4 linked regions of the Stegostoma tigrinum genome follow. The protein of the gene in region 3 purifies or fractionates together with the protein of the main gene of each other region. This does not show direct contact. Links are inferred from orthologs where the notes say so. Each region holds a gene or a part of one and is shown on either strand. Other genes may lie near its edges.

Region 1 (7,454 bases), on a different chromosome or scaffold from region 3:
TTGATCATGTTATGGTCATTGTTTCTGAGGGGATCTTTTACTCTAAGATCATTTTTTTCAATTATACTGTATTATACATCACCAGATCCAAAATGAACTGAACCCTGGTTGGATCAACCACACATTGTTGTTGGATACTGTCCCAAATACACTCTGAGAATTCTCTCTCATGGCTTTCTCCGCCAATCTGATTATCGCAATCTACATGTAGATTAAAGCCACTAATGATTAATGTACTGCCTTTGATAGATGCCCTCATTATCTTCTGATTTAGTCTCAGTCGCAATGTTAAACTACTGTTGGGGATCCTACATCCAACTCTTACCAGCTTCTTTCTTTTTTCTTAACTCCACACATATGGGTTCAACATCTTCTGATTCAAGGTCATTTCTTGCTATCATATTTATTTCAATCCACACCAACAATGCTACTCTATTATCATTTCTTTCTTGCCTGTTCTTTCAAAAACTCACTTATCTTGAATATTTAGTTTCCAGCTTTGATTTTCTTATAACCATGTCTCTGTAATGGTTATAAAATTATACCTGTTAACCTGACTTTTTGCCATTAATTCATTTATTTTGTTCCAAATACTATGTGCACTCAAGTAACGAGCCATTCATTTTGCCTTTTGAATGACTTTTTTCCCCCTGATTGACCCTATTTACTTCTATTTTTCTATGTTTACATATTTTGTCTCTTCCTGTCCTTCTCTGGGTATTGCTATCCAAATATCTGCCGTGCAATGCTGCCATATCAACTTGCTTTGTTGTAATAGGGAACAAAGAGATGGCAGGCCAACTAAATACATATTTTGGTTCTGTTTAACAGAGGAGGACACAAACATTGTCCTAGACCACCTGATACAGTTACAGGGAGGAATTGAAAGAAATCAGTATAAGTAGAGAAATCATGATGGGGCAATTGATGGGATTAAAGGCCAAATAGCTCCGAGAGCCCAATAACATGCATCCCAGACTACTTAAGGAAGTAGCCTTAAAAATAATGTATGCATTGGTGGTGATATTTCAACATCTATAGATTCCAGAACTGTTTCTATGGATTGGAGGGATTGGCCTATACATATTCTTTATATAGGTTGCAGGAGGGCATTTGATAGAAGTCCCACATAAGAGACTGTTACTTATAGTAGAAGCCTACTGAATTGAATGCAAATGCCTGACTTTGCTGCACAAATGTTTTAGTGGCAGGAAACAGAAATTAGGGATAATTGGTAGGTACTGAAATTGGCAGGATATGATTAATGGTGTCCCATAAGAATTTGTATGAGGCTCTTAATTATTCATATTTATTAACAACTTGGAAAATAGTATGGAAAGTCATATATCCAAATTTGATGGTGACATAAGTCTGGGTGGCATTGTCAATGATAGCATAATATTACAAAAGGATATTGATAGACTAAGTGAATAGACAAAATCGTGGCTGATGGATTTCAGTGTAACCAGCGTGTGGTTATCCACTTTTGGAATAAAAGAGGTTAGATCAGGATACTTTTAAGATAATATAAAAAAAATACAGTGGATGCCCAATTAAGACTTGAGGGGTTCAGGTACATAGATCTTTAAAATGCCACAAACAGATGCAGAAAATGCAGATGCAGAAAACAGATTCAGGGGCAGCACAGTGGCTTAGTGGTTAGCACTGCTGCGTTACAGTACCAGGGAGCTGGGTTCAATTCTAGTCTCAGGTGACCGACGCATACATTATTTTTAAGGCTGCTTCCTTAAGTAGTCTGGGATGCATTTTGTGGGCTTTTGGGACTATTTGACCTTTAATCCCATCAATTACCCCATCATGATTTCTCCACTTATACTGATTTATTTCAGTTCCTCCCCGTCAATGTATCTGTGGTCTAGAACAACGTTTGTGTGGAGTTTGCACATTCTCCCCGTGTCTGCATGGGTTTCCTCCGGGTGCTCCAGTTTCCTCCCACAGCCCAAAGATATGCAGGGTAGATGGATTGGCCATGCTAAATTGCCCATACAGCCCAGGAATGTTTAGGTCAGATTGATTAGATATGGGAAATTAGGGGAATGGGTTTGGGTGGGATGGTGTTCGGAGGGGCAGTGTGGACTTGTTGGGCCCAATAGCCCATACTGTCAGGATTCTATTCTGTGAAAATAATCAAGGTGGCTAATGGAATGCTAGCCTTTATATCTAGTGGACCGAAGTATAAGGACACAGCAGCTGTACAAAACTCTGGTTAGATACAACTTTGAGTACTTGGGAAAATCTGGGTACCACATCTTAGGAAGGATATATTGTCCTTGGATGTTTATCAGAATGATACCTGAACTACCAGGAGTTAAATTATGAAGAGAGATTATACAGATCTGATGAAGGGTCTAGGCCCGAAACGTCAGCTTTTGTGCTCCTGAGATGCTGCTTGGCCTGCTGTGTTCATCCAGCTTCACACTTTATTATCTTGGATTCTCCAGCATCTGCAGTTCCCATTATCTCGAAAACAAATTTGGCCTGTTTTACCAAAATTTAGAAGGTTAAGGGGTGAGCTGATCAAAGTCTTCATAATGCCAACAAGAAAAGGCAGTGTAAATAAACTATTGTCACTAGTTGGAGATATTAGAACTAGTCTACTAATTAGGACCAGGCCATTCAGGGGAGATGTTAGGTACTACTTCTACACCTAGACAATGGTAGAGGTTTGGAACTCTCTTCCACGAAAGGCAGTTGATGTTGCAGCAGCCATTAATTCATTTTAATCTGAGATAGATAATTATTTTATTAAGCAAAGGTTTCAAAGAATATGACCCAAAGGTTGGGAGATGGAGCTAGGCCACAGGTCAATCATGATCTCATTGAATGGTGGAACATGCATGAGGGGCTGAATGGCCTACTCCTGTTCCTATGCTTTCCAACTTAACATGACATTCAATTGTATTATGATCTCTAATTTTCAGCTGATATTTTTACTCGATTACTAAATAACATTACCACATTAAACAATACCAAAACCAAGATAGATTGATAAGGTGTATTGTTCACAGCTATAGCACCTCCCAAACCTGCAATCTCTACAGATACATGGGAACACCAGCATCTGAGTTAGTAAGAACTGCTGATGCTAGCGTCAGAGATAACACGGTGTGGAGCTGGAGGAGCACAGCAGACCAGTCCTGGCAGGTCTGTGTTAACACCAGTATCTGAAAGTTTTTTTTCAAATATTAGCAGCACAATGGCTCAGTGCTTAGCACTGCTGCCAACAGCACCAGGGACCTGCATTCGATTCTACCCTTGGGCAACTGTCTGTATAGAGTCTGCACATTCTCCCTGTGTTTCTTTGGGTTTCCTCTGGTGCTCCAGTTTTCTCACAGAGTCCAAAGATGTGCAGATTGGGTAGATTGGCTATGCTAAATTGCCCAAAGTGTCCAGGGGTGTGGAGGCTTAGTCGATTAGCCATACAAAATGCAGGGTTACAGGGATAGGGTAAGGGACAGGTCTGGTGGGGGAGGATAGTCGTCAGAGGATCAGTGTGAACTCGATGGGTTGAATGGCCTGCTTCCATACTGGAGGAATTATTTGATATATGATTTCCCTCACCAGCCACACAGCATCCATAGCTTGGAAATACTTATCACCATTGTTTCACAGTGGCTGGGTAAATACTCTGGAACTAATTCCGAAGAACATTTTCTCTCCCTGCGCCCCACGGATTGCAGTGGTTTGTCATTACCCAAAAGGTCTATAGAAATAATTAATGAGATGAAGGGTCTAAGCCTGAAACGTCAGCTTTCCTGCTCCTAAGGCCTGCAGTGTTCATCCTGCTCTACACCTTGTTATCTAGGAATAGTTATTATCTGCTTCAATGAAATTTAAAAAAAACCTTCGCTGGTCAGATATCTATGCTGGTTATATCAGTGAAGGCTTCAAAGGCACATGCTCTGTGGAGGAAGAGAAAATGGGAACTGCAGATGCTGGAGAATCCGAGATAACAAAGTGTGGAACTGGATGAACACAGCAGGCCAAGCAGCATCTGAGGAACACAAAAGCTGACGTTTCGGGCCGAGAGCCTTCATCAGAAAATTCCTGTGGAGGAATATTGTAATTTCTGGTCAACAGCATGCACACAGCCAACAGAAGTTTCTTTTACTTTTACACAAGCCCTCACGCTGCAGCAATGGTTCCACATTTATTTTAATTTCATATCGTTTGAAGGTCCCATTAAGTCAGTGCCTCTCTCAAGTTCTCTTCTCTAATTGAAAACCTTATGAAGGACTACACCTTCCAATTACCAGCACACTCTCTCAATTCCTTCAATGGAAAGACACCGCCCGCTCCCCTTTGTTTGATCACCAGAGACTCCGCCCACCCATCTTTCCTTCCCTTCGTCACGGGAGACTCCGCCCACACCCTTTCCGTTCGTTCACGTAGACACCGGTGTGTCATGAAATGGCCCCGCCCATTCCGTGCCGACCCTCTCGGGGCGGGGTCACTGATACGGGTGCGGCACGTACTTTAGTGTCGGAGGTCGTTCGGCGGTCAGTCAGTTATTCTCAAAAATTCCTGTGAACGTAGAAAGATTTAGATATGCCTCACTTTGTACAAAATCTTCGCAATTTACTCAGTAACCAGCCGGAAGAGTTTGAACAAGTTGAGGAGGAGGATGTTAGGAGTTGGGGGTTGACAGGTCAGTGCCGTTTAAACGGATTGTAGCCGACTCCTGGGGAGGTCTGAGGACACCTGACTGATCACAGGCCCAACTTGGATAACTTTGAACTCTTTGTGGGCACTTTGAACATAGTTATTAAATTGTCTTAATCCGACTATCTCTCATAGGCCTCTCCTTTAAATCGTGAGGCATACTGCCCGTGCCCTAAATATAACCTATTCTTGGCCTCTTTCTAAATAATTCTCATTCTCTGAAAATTGGGTAATGATGGTGACATGTCGGTTTCTTTTTCAAAATTAACCACTTTGCGATAACTACACTCTTTGAACGAATTTTATTCACTCGCTGAAGAGCGATTTGACTGTAAACAGTTCTTGAGTCCATGGAAAGTTCGGAAAGATCCCATCAGAGATGAAGGGTCTAGGCCTGAAACGTCAGCTTTTCTGCTCCTGAGATGCTGCTTGGCCTGCTGTGTTCATCCAGCTTCATACTTTGTTATCTTGGATTCTCCAGCATCTGCAGTTCCCATTATCTCTGATCGCAGTTGTAATGGCACCCGCATCCACAGCTTCAACAGAAAGTTCATTCCACACGTGAACCACCTTCTGTAATTAAAAAGCCTCAGTCTTTTTAAAATCTCTCTCCTCTCAACTTAAAATGTGCCCCCGGTCTTGAAATTCTTAGGGAAATTACAACTACTATCAATGCCTCTTGTTATTTCATTGACTTCTACCAGCTCACCTCTCAGGCTTAGATAATAAAGTGTGAAGCTGGATGAACACAGCAGGCCAAGCAGCATGCTGCTTGGCCTGCTGTGTTCATCTAGCTTCACACTTTATTATCTTGGATTCTCCAGCATCTGCAGTTCCCACCACCTCTCAACCTTCTTGGCTCCAGTGGAAAAAATCCTAGCCTTTCTTTATAACTCAGATCTTCTGTACCTGGCAACATCCTGGTGAATCTCTTCAGAAACCTTTCCAGTTTGATAATATCCTTTCTGTTCTGAGTAAGCGTCAACGGATCCGAAACATTTACTCTGTTTTCTCCTCCACGGATGCTACCAGACCTGCTGACCTTTTCCAGCAACTTTTGTTTTTGTTCTTGATTTACAGCATCTGCAGTTTTTTTTTGTTTCTATTTAATATTCTTTCTGTACCAGGTGACCAAAACTGGACACACTAAAGTGTCAATCAGCTGATCGAGGACCCAACTGAATATTGTTGTTTCTTATAAATTATTACAATGAATTGCCAAACATAGCTCAGTCTTAGCCTCAGTTGTATTTGATGTTTCACAAGTGCACTGCTGGTGGTGGATGGAAGAGCAGTTTGAGTGGATGAGTTAAGTATATATTACAAATATGCATTGCTACAATGTTAAAAGCATAGTAATCTCACCAGTTTACTAAATAAACTTATTGATGAGAAACAAAGTGAAAGAACCTCAATGCATTTTGCCAGCCTCATTGTTTATCTGAAATAACTGAAACCTGATCCCAACTCTGTATTAAAAACTGTAGGAACTGTGGATATTGTAAATCAAAAACAAGAAAAACTTTTCCTTGATATTTGCATCCATTGCCAATGTTGAGCATTTTTGCATCAACTGTCAGAAACTAGAGATTTTAGTTTCAAAAATAAATAAGACATCTTTGTATTGAGTAAATTGAATTAGGAGGATGTCTGATTTTATTACTTTTCATGGGCTAAATCAGAAAAATTGAGTTCTAATGATCAGAAAATTGCAAGAATAAATTAACATGAGCAGGAGTAGGTCATTCTACCTTTCAGTGCAAATCTTCCATTCAATAAGATCATGGCTGATCTGATTATTCAACATCTCTGATAACCTTTCACTCACTTGCTAATCAGGAACCAGTCTCCAGATGGCTTAAAAATGTTCTGCATTTACTTCATGCCTCTACTTCTACTGCATTTGTGAAAGAGATCCATAGTCAGTTCACCCATTGAGAAAAATAATTCTTCTCATCAGTCTCAAATGGACAACCCATTACCTTTAAGCAGTGTCCCCCTAGTTCTGAATTGTCCTGCAAGCAGAAACATCCTTATAACATTTGTCTTTCAAAACACTCAGGATCTTGTATGTTTCACTCAAGTTGCTCTTTCTCATCAGTCAGCTTGCCTATTCCAGGCCTAGTAAGCCTTCTAAAATTGCTTAATATGGTGATATTCTGATACTGTCACTAAACTGATAATCCAGAAGGCCAAGCTAATATGCTGAGGACATGAGTTCCAGTCTCACCATCATCGAATGTGGAATTTAAGTTAATTTAATATATGAGGAATTACTCACTTTAATGGTGACCATTAAATCATTGTCAGATATTTTAAAACCCACCTCAATCTCCAGTGTCCTTTTGGGAAGGAAAACTGCCATCCTCACCTGGTCTGGCTTGCTTGTGACTCTACGTCTTCAACAAAATGGTTAATTTTTTACTGTCCCCTAGCAGCTTTCAATTCCCATTTTGTCTCCCTTTTTGAATAAAGGTGTTAAATTTGCTATTTACTAATCTAAAGGAACATTCCCTGAATATAAAGAATGTTGGAAAATTAAAACTGATGAATTAACTATATCACTAGCTGCCACTTTTAAAACCCCAGGATTAAGTCCATCAGGACATAAGGACTTATCAGCCCACACCGCCAACAGTTTGCACAATACTGCTTCCCCTGTGATTGTAATATTCGGATTCTTCCCTTTCTTCCATGTCCTGATTTACAACTATATCTGGAATGTAACCTTTATCTCTATAATGAAGATCAATGCAAAATAATAATTCAGT
Region 2 (7,111 bases), on a different chromosome or scaffold from region 3:
GGCCATTCAGACCCCTCTTGGAGTCTGTTACACAGAATCAGGTTGAGGCCACTCAGCCACCTCCTGGACCCAGTTACAGAGGAACGGCAGGGGACCATTCAGTCCCTTGAGCCTGTCTGACTATTCATTGAGATTCTAGCTGCCATGATTCACAATTCCCAACCATTGCATCACTAGTCTGTGTACAGTTGCCAGAAAACATCCATCAATGCCACTGGTAACATTTATAGCTAGCCCACCCTAAACTTCAACAGCACTTAGTGCGAGAGATCCCAGGTCTGCTACTTGGGAAAGGAGCCCATCTTGACATCCCTTTCAAATTGCCTCCTCCTTGAAATGGAAAGTAAAGCTCCCTCTGCTCTTTTAAACAGGAAGTAAATCTCCCTCTTCTTCTCAACAGAAGGTAAAGCTCCCTCTACTCTTTTAAGCAGGAAGTGAAGTTCCTCTATTCCAATAAACTGAAAGTAAAGCTCTCTCTACTCCAATGAGCTGAAAGTAAAGCTCTCTCTACTCTTTGCCCGTCAAACATTGCCAGGACAGGATCATACAGTCTTCCTTCTCTTTCACAGCATAGCGCACACTCCTCTCGAAGCCTGTCTGGCTGTTCTCCTGGGCCATTTTCTTCAAATCCACTCGCAGGGTGATCTTCGAAGGAAGAGACAGCTGAACGGAGGTATTCCCGGACCTGGGGGGGGGGGGGGGGGGGGGGGGGGGAAGAGGGCAAGATAAGGTGCAGTGTTAGGTCAATGCGACGGACTTGGAAAGGCTCGAGTTTGTGTTCCCTGGTCCGAAAGTCCAACCCTGCCCCCTCGTTCTTCACTTAACACACTCCTTCAAATCTCCAACAGGACAGCGTTCTAGAGCCAACCACCTTCGGCTGCTTCATCAATGACCGCACCCACCCCCACAGGCAGCAGAATCGGGGATGTTCACCGATGACTGCACAGTGTACAGCACCATTCGTGACTCCTCAGGTCCTGAAGCAGTCCGCGTTCAAATGCAACAAGATCTGGACAATATCCAGGCTTGGGCTGGCAAGTGGCAGGTAACACTGATGCCACACAAATGCCAGGCAGTGACCATCTCTAGTAAGGGAAAATCTAACCGTTGTCCCCACTATCCTGGGGATTATCATTCACCAGAACCTGAACTTGGACCGGCCCCACATAAACACAAGGGGCTACAAGAGTAGGTCAGAGGCTGGGAATCCTGTAGCGAGTCACTCACCTCCTGACTCTTCCCTCTTCCACAGGCACACACACAGGCACACACCCCACCCCTGTCTGATGGGATATTCCCCACTTGCACTGGGTGCAGGCAGCTCCGACATCATTCGAGAAGTCGACACCACCCAGGGACAAACCAGCCAACCGCTCAATTGGCATGGCATCCACAAACACCAACACTCAGTCGCAGCAGTGTGTACCATCTACAAGATGCGCTGCAGAAACCCACTGAGGCTCCGTAATTCAGTACCTTCCAAAACCCCACACCCTCCACCATCAATATGGACAAGGGGCAGCAGATACATAGGAACACCAGCCCCCTGCAAGCTCTCCATCCCAACCTGGAAATATATTACCATCATTGGGCCTGGAACTCCCTCCCTATCAGCAGTCTAGGTGGGCGCACCATGCACTGGTCCAGGGAGACAGGCAACAGATCCTGGGTCTAGCCAGTGAAACCAACATTCCTGGAAAAACTTAAAACACGCAACTTCACAGTCACACAATCAGTTAAATAAGATCGCGAGAGAAGACGGCAGACCTAGCGAGAGGGGCACCATGTAAGACCGAGAGAGAGCGAGAGAGAGCGAGAGGGAGGGTGTGTGTGGAAGCGGACAGACTGCAAGACAGAGATAGACAGGTGGGGTATGTGGAGGGGGACAGACTGACAGAGAGAGAGATAGAGAAAGGGGAAGAGAGAGAGAGACAGAGAGGGAGGGAGCCAGTGAGAGAGAAGGTGGGAGGTGGAGATGTTTTGGGTCATTCCTCTGCTATGGGCACGGGTACCTGAAGCTGCAGAAATTTCAATCATAGGGAAGGAACTTGAGAGTCGGGAATCAGAAGCAAGCAGGGATATGAAGGTTTTGGGACGGAAGAAGATCACAGAGTTGGGGGAAGGTAAAACTAGGCTGGGAGGCGGACAGACAGGTGGGATCAGAGACGATGGAAGGATTTGAGTTTTGAACTCGAGGCGCCTTTGGCAGAACACTGCTTTTTGACACTTACCGCAAAGCCTCTGAAAGCTCCCGCTCATGCTCGGCCGAGTAAACATTCCAGGATCCGTCATCCGCTTCCCATTCCCAACGGCCAGCTAACTCATTGAGACCCACCTCCTCTTCATCATTGTCTGCCGTCGCTCTCTTGCGGCCTGCAGGGAGAACACCAGTCCCACTACCATAACTCTCACACACCACCGAGGTAAAACTTATCAATATCCAGGCTTGGGGTGACAAGTGCCTCGTAACATTTGCGCCACACAAATGCCAGGCTGTGACCATCCCCAAATCAAAGAAAATCTAACCACCCCCCTCCCTTGACATTCAATGGCGTTGCCATCACTGAAACCCGCCCCCCCCCCCACAATCAACATCCTCATAACATAAATACAGTCGCGACAAGAATAGGTCACAGGATCAAAATACTGTGGCCAGCAACTCCCCTCCTGACTCCACCAAAACCTGTCCCACCATCAACACACAGTCAGGAGTGTGATGGGATACACCCCACTTGCCCGTGGATGGGGGCAGCTCTGACAACACTCGACAGGCTCCACACTGTCCAGGGTCAAAGCGGCTCCCCACTTGATTGGCACTACATCTACAAACACCCGCTCCCCCACCCACCGATGCTCAACCGCAGCAGTGTGTAATCTACAAGACGCCCTGCAGAGACTCACAAAGGGTCCTCAGGCAGCACCTTCTACATCCCACGGCCACTTCCATCTGGAAGGATAAGGGGGCAGCAGATACATGGGAACACCAGCCCCCTGCGAGTTACCCCTCTGAGCCGCTCGTCATTCCGACTTGGAAATATATCGGCCGTTCCTTCAGTGTGGCCAGGTCAGGATCCCTGGAATTCCCTCCCTGAGGGGGACGCTGTGGGTCTACCCCACAGGACATGGGACTGCAGCAGTTCAAGGGGGCAGCTCACCGCCACTTTCTTAAGCACAACTATGACAGGCAATTAATGAATTTCAAAAAAATCCCTGTGAGGCACAGAATTGTAGAACGAGACGGCACAGAATGCCATTCAGCCCGTAGCACCGAGATCTGCTTTTTGTCATGTTTTGAAAGAAAAATCATCGACTCGTCCCAGCCCAGAGGAGCAGCGGGCATGACGCACACTTCAGGAAGAACAGGTTTTCTTCTGTTCCACTTTGTTATTGTCACATGCACCAAGATACAGTGAAATGTATAATCCGCATGCGATGCAGATAGATCATATCTTAGTTAAGTACATCAGGATAGTAAAACAGAATGCCCAATATAGTGTTCCAGCAGCAGAGAGGGTGCAGAGAGAGAACAACTCGAATATATGAGGGATCTACTCGTAGGTCTGATAACAGCAGGGAAGAAGCTGTTCTTGAATCTGTTGATATGTGTTTTCAAACTTCTGTATCTTCTGCCCGATGAAAAGAGGGTGAAGAGAGTGCAACTGAGGTGGGAGGGGTCTTTGATTATGTTAGCTGTTTTCCCGAAGCAGCAGGAAGTACAGGTGGAGTCTGTACAGCGCGGAAACAGACTCTTCGGCCCAACCAGTCCATGCTAAATCTCAAACTAGCCCCACCTGCCTGCTCCTGGCCTGTATCCCTCTAAACCTTTCCTATTCATGTACTTATCCGAATGCGTTTTAAACATTGTGACTGTACACACATCCATCACTTCCACTGGAAGCTCATTCCACACTCGGGCCACCCTCTGTATTTAAAACAAAAACCTTCACCTTTTTTTTAAATCTTTCTCCTCTCACCTTAAAAATGTGCTCTGGTCTTTAAATTCCACACTCTTAAAAGACACCTGCCATTCAACCTATCTACATCTCTCACAATTTCATAAATGTCTGTAAATTCACCCCACAACCTCCAGTGTTCCAGCTTATCCTTATAACTCAAACCGTCCATTTCAAGCAACATCCTGGTAAATCTCTTCTGAACCCTCCCCAGCTTCAACGACACCCTTCCTGTAAGAGGACAACCAGATTTGGACACAGTTCTCCAGGGACAAAAGCAGAAATTGCTTGGAAAGCTCAGCATTCTGATCTGAGGAAGGGTTGCCCCAGACCAGAAACAACAACTGATTCCTCTTCACAGGCACTGCCAGGCCTGCTGAGCTTTTCCAAAAGCTTCTGTTTTTATTTCTGGTTGACAGCATCTGCCGTTCTTTCGGGTTTTATATGGTACTCCAGACGGGGCCTAACCAACATCTTGTACAACCTCAAATTGTGTCAATGGATGGGAGGCTGGTTTGTATGATGGGCTGGGCTGTGTTCGCAACTCTCTGTAATTTCTTGCCTCAGAAACAAGGCTGAGTCTTTTTTTTCTGACTGTGCAGAAACTGGGAGCGGCACAACCTGGCGGCGGTGGGGGGGTCACAGGATTTGACCATGCAAGGAGGGGGAAGACACGCTTCATCCACACCAACGGAGCAGAGTGTCATGTTCCGAGGAGTGACAATAACCGAGAACCTGTCCCGGGGTTCCCACTCGGATGCAACGGTCAAGAAGGCTCAACAGTACCTCTTCTTCCTCAGGCGGCTCAGGAAATTCCGGGTTTTCCGTAAGGACCCTCACCAACTTTTACTGATGTACCACAGAAAGCATACCGTTCCGGGTGAACAACGGCCTGGTACGGTGACAGCTCTCCCCCAGGACCGTAAGAAACTGCAGAAGGCGGTGTGTACAGCCCAGACCATCACAGAAGCCGACCTTCCACCCATGGACTCCAGTTACTTGTCTCGTTGTTGTGGAAAGGCTGCCCATATCATCGAAGACCCCTCCAAACCTGGTAATGATCCCCTACAACCTCGTCCATCAGGCACAAGACACAGAAGCCTGAACACACGCACCATCAGGTTCAGGAACAGTTTCTTCGCTGCTGTTATTAGACTAATGAATAGACTCCCGAACTTCAAATAATGCTCATCTTGCTCGCGTTGATCTTGCTTCGCACCCCTCCTGCGCAGCGTAACCTAGATGCCTAGTTCTGTCTAAGCACCCGATAATCTGCATGAGACATAGCAAGAACTGCAGATGCTGGAGTCAGAGCTAGCACACAGCGTGGGCATGGAGGAACACAGCAGGCCAAGCAGCATCAGAGGAGCAGGAAAGCTGATGTTTCAGGTCGGGGCTAAACAGTTCTGAAGAAGGGTTCTAAACCGAAACGTCAGCTTCCCTGCTCCTTTGATGCTGCCTAATCTGCTGTGTTCCTCCAGATCCACACTGTGTTATCTATGATCTGTATGTCCTTATTTGCTATGATCTGCCTGTACTCTACACAAACACAGATTTTCACTGTACTTAGGTACACATGACAACAATAAATCAAATCAAAATCACAAATTGGGTTAGGTATGACACTGGGGGCTGACTGTGAACAAATTGGGTTGGGAACAACACCAGGGGCCTGACTGTGAACCAACTGGGACATCTACAACACCAGGGGGGGGTCTGACTGTGAACCAATTGGGATAACTACAACATCAGGGGGGGGGGGTCTGACTGTGAACCAATTGGGATAAGTACAACATCAGGGGGGGGGTCTGACTGTGAACCAATTGGGATAAGTACAACATCAGGGGGTCTGACTGTGAACCAATTGGGATAAGTACAACATCAGGGGGGGGTCTGACTGTGAACCAATTGGGATAACTACAACATCAGGGGGTCTGACTGTGAACCAATTGGGATAAGTACAACATCAGGGGGTCTGACTGTGAACCAATTGGGATAACCACAACATCAGGGGGGGTCTGACTGTGAACCAATTGGGATAACTACAACATCAGGGGGGGGGTCTGACTGTGAACCAATTGGGATAACTACAACATCAGGGGGGGGTCTGACTGTGAACCAATTGGGATAACTACAACATCGGGGGGGGGGGTCTGACTGTGAACCAATTGGGATAACTACAACATCAGGGGGTCTGACTGTGAACCAATTGGGATAAGTACAACATCAGGGGGTCTGACTGTGAACCAATTGGGATAAGTACAACACCGGGGGGGGTCTGACTGTGAACCAATTGGGATAACTACAACATCAGGGGGGGTCTGACTGTGAACCAATTGGGATAACTACAACATCAGGGGGGGTCTGACTGTGAACCAATTGGGATAACTACAACATCAGGGGGGTCTGACTGTGAACCAATTGGGATAACTACAACATCAGGGGGTCTGACTGTGAACCAATTGGGATAACTACAACATCAGGGGGGGTCTGACTGTGAACCAATTGGGATAACTACAACATCGGGGGGGGGTCTGACTGTGAACCAATTGGGATAACTACAACATCAGGGGGGGGGTCTGACTGTGAACCAATTGGGATAACTACAACATCAGGGGGGGGTCTGACTGTGAACCAATTGGGATAACTACAACATCAGGGGGGGTCTGACTGTGAACCAATTGGGATAACTACAACATCGGGGGGGGGTCTGACTGTGAACCAATTGGGATAACTACAACATCAGGGGGGGGGTCTGACTGTGAACCAATTGGGATAACTACAACATCAGGGGGGGGGTCTGACTGTGAACCAATTGGGATAAGTACAACATCAGGGGGTCTGACTGTGAACCAATTGGGATAACTACAACATCAGGGGGGGTCTGACTGTGAACCAATTGGGATAACTACAACATCGGGGGGGGTCTGACTGTGAACCAATTGGGATAAGTACAACATCAGGGGGTCTGACTGTGAACCAATTGGGATAACTACAACATCAGGGGGGGTCTGACTGTGAACCAATTGGGATAACTACAACATCAGGGGGGGGGTCTGACTGTGAACCAATTGGGATAAGTACAACATCAGGGGGGGGGTCTGACTGTGAACCAATTGGGATAAGTACAACATCAGGGGGTCTGACTGTGAACCAAT
Region 3 (7,348 bases):
GTGAAATTGTCAAACTGGCAAGGATACTGTAGGTAACTGTAACCTTTTAGGGGAAGAAACAAGTAAAGGCTGAAAAGACAATCGAAGATCTGATGACCAAGAGTTCAAATTGAATTGATTACTCAGATCAGGAACTTAACTCTAGTTAACCCCACTGGCCATACAAATACTATCAGAGAAGGTCAGAGGCTGAGAATTCAGCACTGACTCTCCAAAGACAATCTACAGGGCACTAATCTAGAACCTGATGGAATACTCTCCAATTGTTCGGATTAACGCACCTGCAAAACTGTTAAGAGTCTCAACACTATCCAGGACATTCCAGTTTCCTTGACCTGCAGCTGACTGACCATGTAAAACATTTATTCCCTTAACTATGAGTGCACAGAGCAACCGCAGTTTATACTCTCTAAAGTCTATGAGACTGATACCCTAGATGGAAAAGGTCAACAGGCACAATGCAAATACCATATGCATGGCCCCCTAAGCAAAGCTACAAAGTCATGAAATAGGAGAAATCCTTCTACATATACCGTAAATGTAGATTAGCAGATTTTAGTAACTAGGTTATATTCATTAGTTCACAAGGCACTGAATGCAACATAAGAACAACACTGTTTACATAGATGGGTGCAAATTTACTGTGAATGTAAAAATCAGCCTGCAGGGTCTGTATCATGATGTCTTTCATAAAGAATCAATGCTGGCAAACAAAATGGAGAACAATTAGAATAAAAGCAGAACAAAGATCAAGACCCAAATAATAAGATGGAAAAGGCAGAGAATGGTAAGAAAGACACTAATGACATCTGGCATTACATGTGCAAACCCTTGCTCAGACATTTAAGAAAAAAGTAAAACAAAGCAGTAATGATAGGAAGTGAACATAATGGTCATATTGGAGCTCCATTTTGAGATCTATAAGTCAAGTCAAACAAGTATATATGTCATTCATGAGTTTCACTGGTCTTTACTCTGGTTGAGTGTGCCACTCAAAATTTCCAAGTTTCAAATTTTATAACAAATATCAAAAATTAAAAACAAATCTACTGCAGGGTTCTTCGTGATATTGTGAAAATTAATTAAAAATGGAAACTTTCCTTACTTGGAACAGAACAAGGAATACATTGATACATGTGCACTTTCCATTTGCCTCTCTAGGGAAGCAAAGAAAGCAATCAAAAATACTGTTCAAAAAAGCTTTAAAATAAAATGTAAAACTTAGCCTTGTCAATCTTGCCTTGTATTTTTCCAGCTGACTGTAGCTAGAAATATGCTTAGTGCTCTGCCTTTCACGTTCCCACTTGTTACTTTCCCATTTACTAAGGCAGTCATTTAGGTGGCATTAAGTGCAACAGTTCACGTGCGGCAAGGTACATGCACATCAAACCTTTTACTATTTTGACCATATTTCTCCCACAACAGTGGAGGGGAAAAGAAGTGTCTTCTTAGGCTGTAACATTTAGTATCCAAAAATTCTGCAAAGAAAATTAGTAAATCTTTTCTCCAGTAAAATACGGTTCTATTTTTCTCCCACGTGCACAAAGAAAGCTTTTAAACATCGGTTTCCAATGCTCCTTATAATGACCTGACTTGAAGCTATCAGTCTGTGGCTTATGATTGATAGCTTCAAGATCCTGGGAGGTCACACCACATTTAAATGCCATTGGAACCAGACGAACAGTTTCATTCAGGACCTCTTGGGGTGGGAAAGAAGGCGAGTTTCGTTCTACCTGAATGCCAGACTCCCAATCAGAAAACTCATGCTTCTGATGTTGGGCTCTGAAGTTCCTTAATTAGGAGTGAGCTGAGCACATGGGCACAGACTGCTGGAGTTTACGTTACAGCATTTTGGAGGAGAAACTATATTTAGCTCCAAAAAAAAGGATTACAAGTGACCAATCTCAATCAAGTATTCTGAGTTTGATTTACTCTCAAAGCATTTTATGTTCCATAAACCCAAATAATCATAAAGGATTAATACATTTTCAACATTTTTTCTAATATAGATCCAATTTTCCAGTTAAACAAATAGACAGAAAGAAAGGGTCTAGATTTCAAATTTTTCACCCAAATCTTTCAGTAGACCTCTACTGATTTTGTTGGTACACGTTGGAAAAACACAGCAACAACGACAAAGTTTTTGAAAAAAAAAGCCTGTACATAGCAACAAAATCGAAATTAAAAGGCGGCCCAAAGTGGGAGATAAATATAGCAATCATCGATCTCAAGTTTGAAAGCCTGTAGATACACTGGATCCAACAGGCCTGTGGGGAAGAGAAGGGAGATTTCATTTTATTCCAACAGTTATTCACAATATAAAAATACAAGAGTACAAATTAATGGGGAAAGTTTACTCACCAACAACCATTACACCGCCCCCCCCAAAAAAATAATATTTGATAAATGAACCTAATGAGGACAACAAAATACATTCGCAGAATACGGATAACATTTGAGTAAGGCCTTGCGCTTTACACAGCCGAAGTACATGCATATTTTGCGATGAGGGAGAACCGACGAGTATGGCTCCGGCGACGAAACCACGCTGGACCGGTCAGCCCAGTTGGGTATGTGACAGTAACAAGAAAGTGCAAAGTGGGGGGAGGAAGGAGGCATAACAATGGAAAGAGGGGATTGCACAGGAAAGGGAGCGGGGGAGGGTCAGGTAGCAGCCCGGCGCCCCACTCTAATCCACTCCGTGCTCCAAATGGGAACATTGGTGCCGCCACGTTCGAGTGGAACTCGGGGCCTGAGCGATACAATCAGTCACCATAGCGCCCGAGCGAGGCCGATTGTTCCTTTGTGAGCCAGGCAACAGCACCGGGTTCGATGCCACTGAATGTTCCTCACTTACCCGCCAGCGCCTACAGCCAGGGGCTTTTGCCTAGCCACTGTCACCGAAACACTCACTAAACACCACAGATGGGGAGGGGAAAGAGAAACAAAAACAAACACAGCCTCTCGAGCCCCAGCTTAGTTTGGCCCCTCCGCACCCCAGTAGGCGCAACTTCCACACGTCAGCACGGCGGAGCGTGCTGACGCCAAGGCCACACCCACTCTCGAAGAAGTTGTTGCTCCGGGCATTTAGACATTTTTCTATCCCCACCCTTGTCTGCCTTCTGGAGAGACCGCTCACTCCCCTCCAACCTCACCACACCCGGCACGTTCCCCTGCTACATCTGCCCCCACACCTCCTCCGTCACCCACATCCCAGGCCCCATGATGACTTTCCACATCAAGCAGATGTTCACCTGCACATCTGCCAATGTGGCATACTGGATCCACTGTATTCGGTGTGGCATCTTCTACATTGGGGAAACCAAGCAGAGGATTGGGGACCGCTTTGCAGAACACCCACGCTCGGTTCGCAATAAACAACTGCACCTCCAGGTCGCGAACCATTTCAACTCCCCCTCCCATTCCTTAGACAACATGTCCATCCTGGGCCTCCTGCAGAGCCATAATGATGCCATCCATAGGTTGCAGAAACAGAAACTCATATTCTGCTTGGGAACCCTACAGCCCAATGGTATCATTGTGGATTTCACCAGCTTCAAAATCTCCCCTTCCCCCCCGCATCCCAAAACCAGCCCAGCTTGTCCCGCCTCCCTAACCTGCTCTTCCTCTCACCTATCCCTTCCTCCCACCTCGAGCCGCACCTCCATTTCCTACCTACTAACCTCATCCCACCTCCTTAACCTGTCCGTCCTCCCTGGACTGACCTATCGCCTCCCTACCTCTCCACCTATCTTCTCTATCTGCCTTCAGTCCGCCTCCCCCTTTCTGCCTATTTATTTCAGAATCCTCTCCCCATCCCCCTTTTCTGGTGAAGGGTCTAGGCCCAAAACGTTAGCTTTTGTGCTCCTAAGATGCTGCTTGGCCTACTGTGTTCGTCCAGCTTCACAGTTTGTTATCTCTGAGTCAGAGAAGGCTTGCTACCGCTGTGTGGAATGGCAGCAGCACTGGCTCCTAGCCAGAGATGTGCCATAGGTTTTATCTTGGAAGGCGAATCGTCCTTAACCAATTTACTAGAGTTTTTAAAAATAATATTTTAAGAGAGTAACACTGTACGTGGACTTCCAACAAATTTCTTACTCAATGTTGTTCCCTCATAAGTTTGAATATGCCCTTTGAATCATACCTATAATGCATGTGGATTCCTCACTTCTGTCTGTTTCCTGAAAATTCTGACTTTAAATGATGATTGGAATTAATCATAGATCTTGAGTTTCCATGAGAATCGCTGTCAAAGCCATTTCAATTAAAGCACTATGCATCCATAGCTAAAATAACCACTGAAATAAAATACATCACAAAATATGAAAGCATTAAGGGACGAAATATAATCTATAAGTAAATATATAAGTAAATGAGGGTCCCTGATTTACAAACATCTGATTTACAAATGTGATCCCATCTGGGGGTGTAAATTTGAAGACTCAACATACAAAATTTTCCTGTACCTACAACAGCTGCTTTACATGGTCCTGCACTGTGTTTTGACTGGTGTGAAAATTGACTTATAAGTGGACCCGAGAACAGCATCTGTTTGCAACCGAGGGACTGCGTGTAAGTTACTTTTGGACTCACCAAGATCCATCTAGTGGCAGATGTTGGTTGGTGGAGGTAGCCGATGGAATCCCAGTGCTTTCTGCACCAACAAAATTCCGTCACTAGATGGAGCCAAGGACCCCCGTGCATATTCAGAATATTAATCGCTGCCTCTAACGCATTCACATCCTCGAGGAAAGGAGACCAAAACTGCAAACGGTATTTGAAACGTGATCTTGCCAGCGCCCTGCATAAAGGAAGCATAACATCATTGCTTTTATGTTATTAATATGGGATAGCATTCCATCAGCCTGCGTATTACTTGCTGTACCTACATAATATTTTGGAAGTCATACACTGGAAGACTTAAAATTTACCTGTACGTCCGAAGTCTGCAGTTGTCCTCCATTTAAGTAATACTCTACAGTTTTATTGTTCCTGCCAAGGTAAAAATAACATTTCCCAATATTTTATTCCATCTGCCAGATCTGCCCATACACTTAACCTATCTAAAATTGCTTGCATCCTTATTTTATCATTTTCATGACGTACTTTTCCACCCAGACATAGTAAGAACTGCCAATGCTGGAGTCAGAGATAACTGTGCGGAGCTGGAGGAACACAGCAGGCCAGGCAGCATCATAGGAGCGGGAAAGCTGACGTTTCGGTTCAGGACCCTTCTTCAGAAATCATCCAACTCCTCACTGTGTTATACTTTCCCACCTATTTTTGTATCATCCACAACTTTAGTTACAACACCTTTAATCTCTCATCTAAGTCATTGATATAAATTGTAAAAAGCTATGGCCCAGTTCAAATCTCTGGAAAATTTCAGTAATCACACCCTGTCAATCAGAAGAATACTGTTTTATGCGCACCTGCTGTTTTTGACAACTCAACCAATCCTGTATCTATGCTAATATGTTAACCACTATACCATGAGCTTCTACTGTGTGGAAAGCCCTTGTATGACATCTTGTCAAATGTCTTCTGGAAATCAAAATGCATGTCAATAGGCTCCCCAGACCCACAGTGCACATTACTCCTTCAAAGAACTCTAATTTGTTACCCTTGAGTTCCATTTCACAAAATCATGCTACTCCTAATTACCATGAATTTTTCTAAGTGGCTAACAATAAGCTACTTAATGGGATTCTGAAGAAGGGTCACTGGTGCTAAAACATTAGCTCAGTTTTCTCTCCACAGATGCTGCCAGATCTGTTGAGCTTTCCAGCAATTTCTGTTTTTGATTCTGATTTCCAGCATTCACAATTCATTGTTTTTTAAAAAATAACGTCCTTAATGATCAATTCTAACACGTTCCTCATGAAAGACAAGTCAACCAGCCTATAACTACCTGTTTTCTAGCTTTTCATCCTTCTTAATTAAAGAAGTTACATGAATTCTTTCCAGCCTGGTGAAATCTTTCCAGCAACTAGTGGATTTGGAATATCAATGCCAACGTATTGATTATCTTCTATGGAGACAAAGCAGAGTTAATGTTTTGGGTTTGGTGACTCTTCTATCAGAACTAATTGTGGCTAGGAAAAGGTGGGATAAATGCAAAAGAAGGGATAGTAGGAGGGGGAAGAATAAACGCTAGGTGGAGATAGAGCCCAGAGTGAGATAATAGTAGTTGGCAGTCAAAGGATTGGGTAATGGTCAGTCTGGGAGAATCGGTAGCTGCTAATGGGGACTGGAAGCTGGTTGGTTGTGGTCACAGCCCAGGTGATGACAGGGCCTGGTGTGTGGGGGTTGGGGGAAGGACATGGAAGAGGGTGCTCAGGCCTTCATATTATTAGACTCAAAATTGGGTCCTGAAGGCTGAAGGGCTCCCAAGTGGAAAATGAGATGACATAACATCCTTTCTAGTTCCAGCTACATCATTGGTACCAATGTGGGCCATGTCTTTTGGATCCTCCCCATCCCATGGCGAAGCTTGCTCCATTTGAGTGCGGATATCCTAGAATTGGGCAGATAACACAGCTATCTGGACTCACATGCTTAACTGCAGAGAACAGTGTCAATCCCTCTTGTTGTACTGTCCCTTAATACCCCAAATTCACTTTTATTACCCCCACTTGAAAGGCTTCATGTACAATGCTGCATTTGTCAGTTAACTCATCCACACTGCAGACCCTTGCCTAATCAAAACAAGCTGATAAACCTCAAACCTGATGGATAATTATAAAGTCTGAGGCTCCTGCTCTCCCACCTTTTGGATTCCCTACCTGCCTCATTTGCAGTCACATCATTCTGCCCCCGACCACTAATAAAATCAGAAGACAGCATCCTCAGGACTGTGACCTCCTCCTGGAATACAGTGACCAGGTCACATCTTTCTTCCCCGATGTGCTGCAGTGTCTGTAGCTTGGCTTCCAGCTCAATAAATTTGAGCTGAAATTTCTCAAGCTGGAAACATTTGTTACAGATGTGTGCGCTCTGGATCATACTGGCACCCAGAAACTTCCACAACCTACAATCACAGCACACTAGAGGCCAAGCAGCATCAGAGGAGCAGGAAGGCTGACGTTTTGGGCCTAAACCCTTCTGCAGAAAGGCCCGAAACGTCAGCCTTCCTGCTTCTCTGATGCTGCTTGGCCTGCTGTGTTCATCCAGCTCGACACCTTGTTATCTCAGATTCTCCAGCATCTGTAGTTCCTACTATCTCCAATCACAGCACACTATCTGCCTTGTCATCTCATTAATTTGTTTTAATCAACTACTCAGTTATTTTACTCAATTATTTGCATTTTGTTAAGGTTACCACCAGTTCCTGAAGCTTTCAATCTAC
Region 4 (6,930 bases), on a different chromosome or scaffold from region 3:
AGTACAAGGCCATCTATTTTGGACTCAAGAAAGAGGCCTTTCTCCCCCCTCCCCCCAAGAAAGAGCAAGAAATGTGGACCTATACAGAAACAAAAAGATTTGGAAATCCAATGTGTATGAATTATTTAATAGTAATGAATAGGTACAAAAAGCTTGCAAAAATACGAACAAATATTGGCCTTTATTTTCAATGGGACAGATCTTTATTTGTAATGGAGCAGAGGCTATAGGGTGGTGACTTGGGTACATACCTCAATGCTGACTTATCATAATGATTCTTTAATTTAACATATTATACTATACAGCAAGCTGCCAAAACCTAGCTTAGAGTTTTTAAAATGTTAAAAGGATTCAACAGGATAATACAAGGAAATATTTTCCTCTGAACAAGGAAACAATTTCTAAAATCAGAGTTGGCTTTATAGAGAAAAATCAGTTCGCGCTTCTCAACATAAAACACATATACAAATGAGTATTAAAAATTTGCAATTTGCCCCTCAGAAGACTATGGATGTTGGGACAATTAGAGCTATTAAGCTTGAGATCTATCTTATAACAACTCTTAAACCTCAGGATCATATTATCCCTTAAATGAATCATGTGCCCATTCACCACCACTTACAGCCAACTGGGAATGCTTAGCCTCAGTGCCATTCACCTCAATGGCTCATGCCACCTTCACCAACTCACTGGGGAATTAAAGCGATAGAAGTAAACCTAGGAAGGGAAGGATGGCAGCTAACTGGCCAAGCAAAAAACCAAGTGCACACTGCAATCAAACTGGACTCTGATGAAGGGTCTAGGCCCGAAACGTCAGCTTTTGTGCTCCTGAGATGCTGCTTGGCCTGCTGTGTTCATTCAGCCTCACATTTTATAATCAAACTGGACATCTGTTTCTCCATTCCCATCGCTCCCTCATATCATTAATATCCTGGTGCATAGTTATGAAAGCTCCAAAAGAAAAAAAAGGACCAGCTTCTGCTTAGTTTCGGCTCAATTCCAGCCCGGCTCTTGACAAACACTTCAAAAGGAGCAAGACACGATATGTAACATTTAGGGTGCAACAAGCATTAACTCAAAGCAGACTACACAATAAAAAAAAACCGCAGACGCTATAAACCAGGAACAATAACAAAAGTCGCTGGAAGAGCTCAGCAAGTCTGGCGCATCGGTGAAAAAAAAATCATAACTTCCTGTTCTAATGAAGGGTCACCAGTACTGAAACGTTAACTCTGATTTTTTTTTCTTCACAGATGCTGCCAGGCCTGCTGAGCTTTTCTAGCTGATTACACGAGATTGTTATATTGCTTTTTTCAAGCAATGTTGGAGTCACTGAGGTCATGCATTGGGGGGTTAAAAAAATTCATAAACATCGTAACCTTTATCCAACTATTCTCCCATCCGTGATATTGTTACAAGCGTTCCCTCAAAGTGCTTTCCTAACATTCACAGGCTGTTCGTGTTTGAATGCACACGACCTTTAATTTTCCTTTCCCCAGCAGCACTTAAAGGGGCCAATTTCTGACCGATTTGCACAGTATCTGCACTGTCACGCGTACACGGCAGACCGAGGAGATACTGCTCCTTTCACACAGACTGTGGAGGGCAAATTACTGAATATATTCAAAACACAGACTGATAAATTTGAAAATTTTAAAAGGCACTAGGAGGCATTGTGAGAAGAAAGCTGGAAAAATATGGAACAAAAACAGAAGTCGCTGGAAAAGCTCAGGAGGTCTGTCAGCATCTGTAAAGAACAGAAAAGAAAATCAGGGTTAACGTTTCGGGTCTGGTGACTTCTCCCCTCAGGAGAAAATGGCAAAGGTACAGGATCAGTCACGATCCTGCTGAATGGCAGGGCAGGAGCACAAGGCCAGGCGGCCTAGACGTAACTCCCAGTGTCTAGATATTTACTCAGCAACCTGTTCACACGTTATTTATTATACACGTCCAGAGCGGATGGGACATAACCCCGGCTTCGTGGTTCAGGGGCATGGGGCATTCAATTTTCAAGAGTTTTCAATTGTAGCGATGTGATCTTTCTGAAAAAAAAGACAAGGCTAGTTTTAAATTAGATGAGTCGCCACCGATGCTAGGAAACCTTTAACCTATTTTTGGTTTGTACCTCGCAGAGGAAAAGCTCAGTTTATTTCTCAGACTTTCCTGATTTGGGTTTGTGACCACGGACTTCTGGCCCCATGGTGCTATCATTCCCACACACTTTGTAGTATCCTGGAGAAACGCTGCCAACAAAGGGCTTTAAAACATACACGCCCACCAGTTTAAGAGTAACCAAAATACCGTGAATGCAGTTTCAGAACTTGATCAGATCCCATTATCTGTAGCAGTTAATATTTATTCGTGTTTGTAAATTGAAGCGGGAGGAGTGGGGTGTTTGGTGGTTAAATTTGGGAGGCGGGGGGAGGGAGAAAGAGATGCCCGTCCCGTTTAAACGCGGGGCCAGCGCCTGCGACTTTCGGCGGACAAGCCGAGAGCGGAACCCGCCTCCAAATCGAGGCCCGAGGCCTCAAGGCCTAGAGACACCAGCTCCCAGCCGGTGCGAGTGAAGCCCTCTGGTGGTAACCGTCTCCCCGCCCCGGGGGGAACGACGTTCAGCCGAGGGCTAGGGCCAGGCCTCTCCTGACTACTGGGTCGAGGCTCGGTGTTTTCTTCCCCCACCCCCGGCCGTAGCGCCAGGGCCCGCTCGGACTGACCTGGTATGAAGCTGCGGCCTGCTCTCCGCGCCGCCTGGAGACCTCCCCTTTAAGAGCCGGCCCTCGCCCTTTGTCCCTGCTTCAGCCGCTGTGACGTGGCGCCCGTTTAAAGGTGCCGGGCGGCCCGACTCCCTCAAGAGCTGTGGCCGACACAAAATCGAAACAAGATAACCATGAGACTCTCACTCCCGACAACTCCCTGAGCGTAGGCTGCAATCAGTCCCCTCCCCTCACCGACGGTCAGTAGCAGCAGTAAACCGAACTGCACTGCAGAATGTGTGCTGTACACCGAAATGCACTGCAGAATGTGTGCTGTGCACCGAAATGTACTGCAGAAATTCGCCAAAGATCCTTAGCAGCTTCCAAACTCAGCACCACTTCCATCTGGAAAGACAAGGACCGCAGACACTGCATAGGGGAACACCGGCTCCTGCAAGTTCCCTCCAAGTCACTCACCATCCTGACCTAGGATATATTGCTGTTCCTTTATGTCACTGGGTCAAAATCCTGCAATTCCTTCACTGAGAACATTATGGGGCTATGTATACCAAAAGGACTGCAGTGGTTCAGGAATGTAGCTCACCATTGGGAACAGCATGGTGGTTCAGTGGTTAGCACTGTTGCTTCACAGTAACGTGAACCCGGGTTTGATTTCACCCTTTGGTGACTGCCCGAATTGGCACATTCTCCCCATGCCCTTGTGGGTTTCCTCCCCCAGTCCAAAAATGTGTAGGTTAGGTGGATTGGCCATGCAATTGCCTGTAGTGTTCAGGGATGTGTAGTTTAGGTAGGTTATAAGGGAATGGATCTGGGTGGGATGCTCCAAGGATTGGTAAGCACTTGTTGGGCCAAAGGACCTGTTTCCACATTGTAGGGGATTCAATTCTATAATCACCTTCTCAAGGACAACTAGGTTTGGACAACAAACCAGCAATGCAATACCCCACTAATGAGTTTAAAAAAAAGCATAGTTTGAAATTAAAATGTTGCCATATCCTAATGTACACATCCCTGTTCTAATCCAATTTCTAAAAGATACTGCAGATGCCAGAGATCTGAAACGAAAACAGAAAGTGTTGGAGAAACTCAGCAGGTCCAACAGCCTTTTTAGCGAGGTAGTGAGAGAACTGAAATAGAGTCGTCTCTGATTTTGTCTCCATATGTGCTACAGAACTGTTGTGGTTCTCCAGCATTTTCTGTTTCTAATTGAAATATGTTTGCCAATTCAGAAGCAGGATTATGTCTGATGAAGGGTCTAGGCCCGAAACGTCAGCTTTTGTGCTCCTGAGATCTGCTTGGCCTGCTGTGTTCATCCAGCCTCACATTTTATTATCTTGGATTCTCCAGCATCTGCAGTTCCCATTATCTCTTATGAATTTGCTCTTTATGTTGAGGGCAGCCCAATGCCTTTTATGACATTTTACTTCCAAAATGTAGCTGCTGCTATGTAAATACATCAAATCTATTCCTCAAGTAGCAAATGAGACAAATGATAATTAGTTTTCATGGAATTGAGTTGAAAAAAGAATGTTTAGCAGGGCATGAAGAAAAATTCTAATTGAATCTGATATTTATATTGACCGCGGTAACATTCAAGAACAGGCTAATTCTCCTGTTTGTAGCATTGAAGAGATCAAGAGTGGCTTGCAAATCTGGTGCAGTGTGAACAAAGACAATTGCCGTCACCCGCAAACTCTTAATCATGTATATCTTGGCTGGCAGAACACTTTTGGCACAGAGTGCATTGATCACTCAAGTAAACCTTGCCTGTTTTTTTCACTGGGTGGCTTGAATACTGGGTGACTGATTGCTATTACTCATTTTGTTAAAGTTGCAGATTATTTCCTTGGTATCTGCTTTACCTCTTGGAAATTTGAGGCAACTGACTCTGAAACTAGACATGGGCAATAAATATGGCCTTACCATTTCTCACGTGTCTAGACTTAAATAGGAAGTGAGTACAGATCTACAAATATAATTCAGAAACACTAAACTATTACTTCTATTGTGATCCAGTTAGGAGGTGTAAACTGATTTCTTATTTCACACTTCTCATTTGTCCGAACGAAGTTTGAATTTCAAAACAAAGGTAATAATTATGATTAAGCGTATCTAACTCAGTATCAAGTCAGCCAGAAATAATTTATTGCCAAATAATTTTGCTCAAGCAATGCTATAATGATTTTTTTAACAAAAGTTTACATTATACAAATACGTACATCTGCCCTTGTTGAAAACTAACATACATATGAACAACCTTCAAGGCAGGGAAATAAAACGTAAATCCTCTGCTTTGTTACCTACAAAATTCCTTGGTCAAGGAACTGTTAAACTCAGGAAAAAGAATTATTCACAATTTGTCCAAATGACAGTCTGAAGCCAAAGTCACGTTGCACAATTAGTGTTGGGGTGTCCTCCTGGATCAATTTTAGCTCACTGAATTCACTTTTTGAGTTCAAATTCTCTTGTCAGAACTCTCCATTTGTGGTGGTGGAATTTTCCAGTGAGTTTTCAACTCTCATACTGAGATGAGAGGGATTTCAGAGAATAGCGAAGGCTGTTGCTCTAGTTAAATTCTCTCTCTGGCTCTGTGTTCAATCCTTTTTGTGTTGATATGTTTTATTAGTCTCAAAAAATACAATATGTGGCCTCTTTCTGAAGCTAATGCAAACTCAGTGACTCCAACCAAGAAGCTTGTAGTTTTTGGAAATTAAACATTTTCCCATTGCAGTCAGTCTCCTTTTCTTGCAAAGTGTTCTCTCCAAATAGTCAAAGATTTTGAAAAATGTCCAGACAATGATATTCTAAATTAATATTTCTGATAGCATATCTTCATAACAACTCCCATTGAAGGATGATGATGTGTCATAGAATATACTACAGGTTACTGTCATAATGCAAAATAAAATTCTATTGTCAGATCTCACCTCCACCCATTGGTAGGATTCCAATGTGCATCACTGTTCTCACATTGCGATTTCTCTGGCCTACCTGTGGCATTTGTAAAAAGAAGCTAAGTTTCTATGTACAGATTTACACAAAGATTACTTGATGATACAAACTAGCAATGGCATTGGTCCAATCTCAGGTCTACATCAAGTTACCCGATCTCTGTTTGGAGGAACCAATAGTAGACCACAATTAGTCTCAGCTAGGGGTAGAGTGAGATCAAATTGCTCAGGATTCCCACTCTTATTTGCTGTCTAACACCTTCTGGAATGTGCTGGTTGAGGATTGGGATATTCCTGTCCTGTGATCAAATAGTCTGCCGTCAGTCACAAAAAAATAATCAGCAGATATAATGGGAACTGCAGATGCTGGAGAATCCGAGATAACAAAGTGTGGAGCTGGATGAACACAGCAGGCCAAGCAGCATCTTAGGAGCACAAAAGCTGACATTTCGGGCCTAGACCCTTCATCAGAAAAGGGGGAGAGGGGGAAGATGGATTGAAGATGGATAGAGGCAAGATAGGTGGAGAGGAGACAGACAAGTTAAAGAAGCGGATATGGAGCCAGTAGAGGTGAGTGTAGGTGGGGAGGTAGGGAGGGGATAGCTCAGTCCAGGGAGGACAGACAGGTCAAGGGGGTGGGCCATAGTCAGCAGATGCTTTTGGAACAATCCTTTAAATAATAGTGCATACCCTTAAGTGACAAGGAAACAAGAAACTTAGTGGATAAAAGGAAGCCAGTAAATCAAATATCACTGTGTTCTTCACCAATTTAAAATTTTTAAAAAATCTTTTTTTTGTCAGTTGTATGAATAAGTAGGTAAGTGTTTAATTATGGCTTTATTCCAGTGAAGGTTATTGCATTTTTCAAATGCAAAAATGGAGACATAACTAAACAAAGGCAGAGAAGAGCAGAATATGATAACCTATGATCTCAACTTTGCTTTATTCACAGCCATTAGTTTGTTTTGGGAATGTTGATTGAGGGCTACATATTGGCTAAGACCTTCCTGTTCCTCTTTGAAACAGCATAGGGAATCTTTACATCCAGAAAGGGCAGATGGAGCTTCAGTTTAACATTCCATTCGTACATAAGGTAGCAAATCCCTGCCATGCCAGTTCAGATTCTGAACTCTAGTGTTTGGTGCAGGAGGGATGGGTAATAATTTGTCTAGCCCAGGAAGATGGATTTTAAAACGGGGCCAGGAAAAACCTGGGGCATCAGGTTCGCCACCTAATTCACTGCTGCCTCTTAGTGATTTGAAGAC

The links.
Region 1: the proteins of rnf146 (region 3) and chd1l purify together in Homo sapiens (co-immunoprecipitation; 3 studies listed by BioGRID and IntAct, counting the BioPlex papers as one, with this or other methods). This does not show direct contact. The link is inferred for Stegostoma tigrinum from reciprocal best matches to the Homo sapiens genes RNF146 and CHD1L.
Region 2: the proteins of rnf146 (region 3) and parp2 purify together in Homo sapiens (affinity purification with mass spectrometry; 4 studies listed by BioGRID and IntAct, counting the BioPlex papers as one, with this or other methods). This does not show direct contact. The link is inferred for Stegostoma tigrinum from reciprocal best matches to the Homo sapiens genes RNF146 and PARP2.
Region 4: the proteins of rnf146 (region 3) and lig3 purify together in Homo sapiens (co-immunoprecipitation; 3 studies listed by BioGRID and IntAct, counting the BioPlex papers as one, with this or other methods). This does not show direct contact. The link is inferred for Stegostoma tigrinum from reciprocal best matches to the Homo sapiens genes RNF146 and LIG3.

What each region holds. Positions count from the first base shown.
Region 1 is NC_081365.1:27,586,010-27,593,463, reverse strand, and holds the start of chd1l (chromodomain-helicase-DNA-binding protein 1-like), read left to right. Parts: upstream 1-4,449; 5' UTR 4,450-4,569; coding exon 4,570-4,669; intron 4,670-7,454. UniProt on the Homo sapiens protein: ATP-dependent chromatin remodeler that mediates chromatin-remodeling following DNA damage.
Region 2 is NW_026728242.1:133,905-141,015, reverse strand, and holds the start of parp2 (poly [ADP-ribose] polymerase 2), read right to left. Parts: upstream 3,023-7,111; coding exon 3,003-3,022; intron 2,406-3,002; coding exon 2,232-2,405; intron 686-2,231; coding exon 549-685; intron 1-548. UniProt on the Homo sapiens protein: Poly-ADP-ribosyltransferase that mediates poly-ADP-ribosylation of proteins and plays a key role in DNA repair.
Region 3 is NC_081357.1:68,246,027-68,253,374, reverse strand, and holds the start of rnf146 (E3 ubiquitin-protein ligase rnf146), read right to left. Parts: upstream 3,013-7,348; 5' UTR 2,858-3,012; intron 1-2,857. UniProt on the Homo sapiens protein: E3 ubiquitin-protein ligase that specifically binds poly-ADP-ribosylated (PARsylated) proteins and mediates their ubiquitination and subsequent degradation. May regulate many important biological processes, such as cell survival and DNA damage response.
Region 4 is NC_081380.1:10,340,060-10,346,989, forward strand, and holds the start of lig3 (DNA ligase 3), read right to left. Parts: upstream 3,024-6,930; 5' UTR 2,715-3,023; intron 2,043-2,714; 5' UTR 1,380-2,042; intron 1-1,379. UniProt on the Homo sapiens protein: Isoform 3 functions as a heterodimer with DNA-repair protein XRCC1 in the nucleus and can correct defective DNA strand-break repair and sister chromatid exchange following treatment with ionizing radiation and alkylating agents.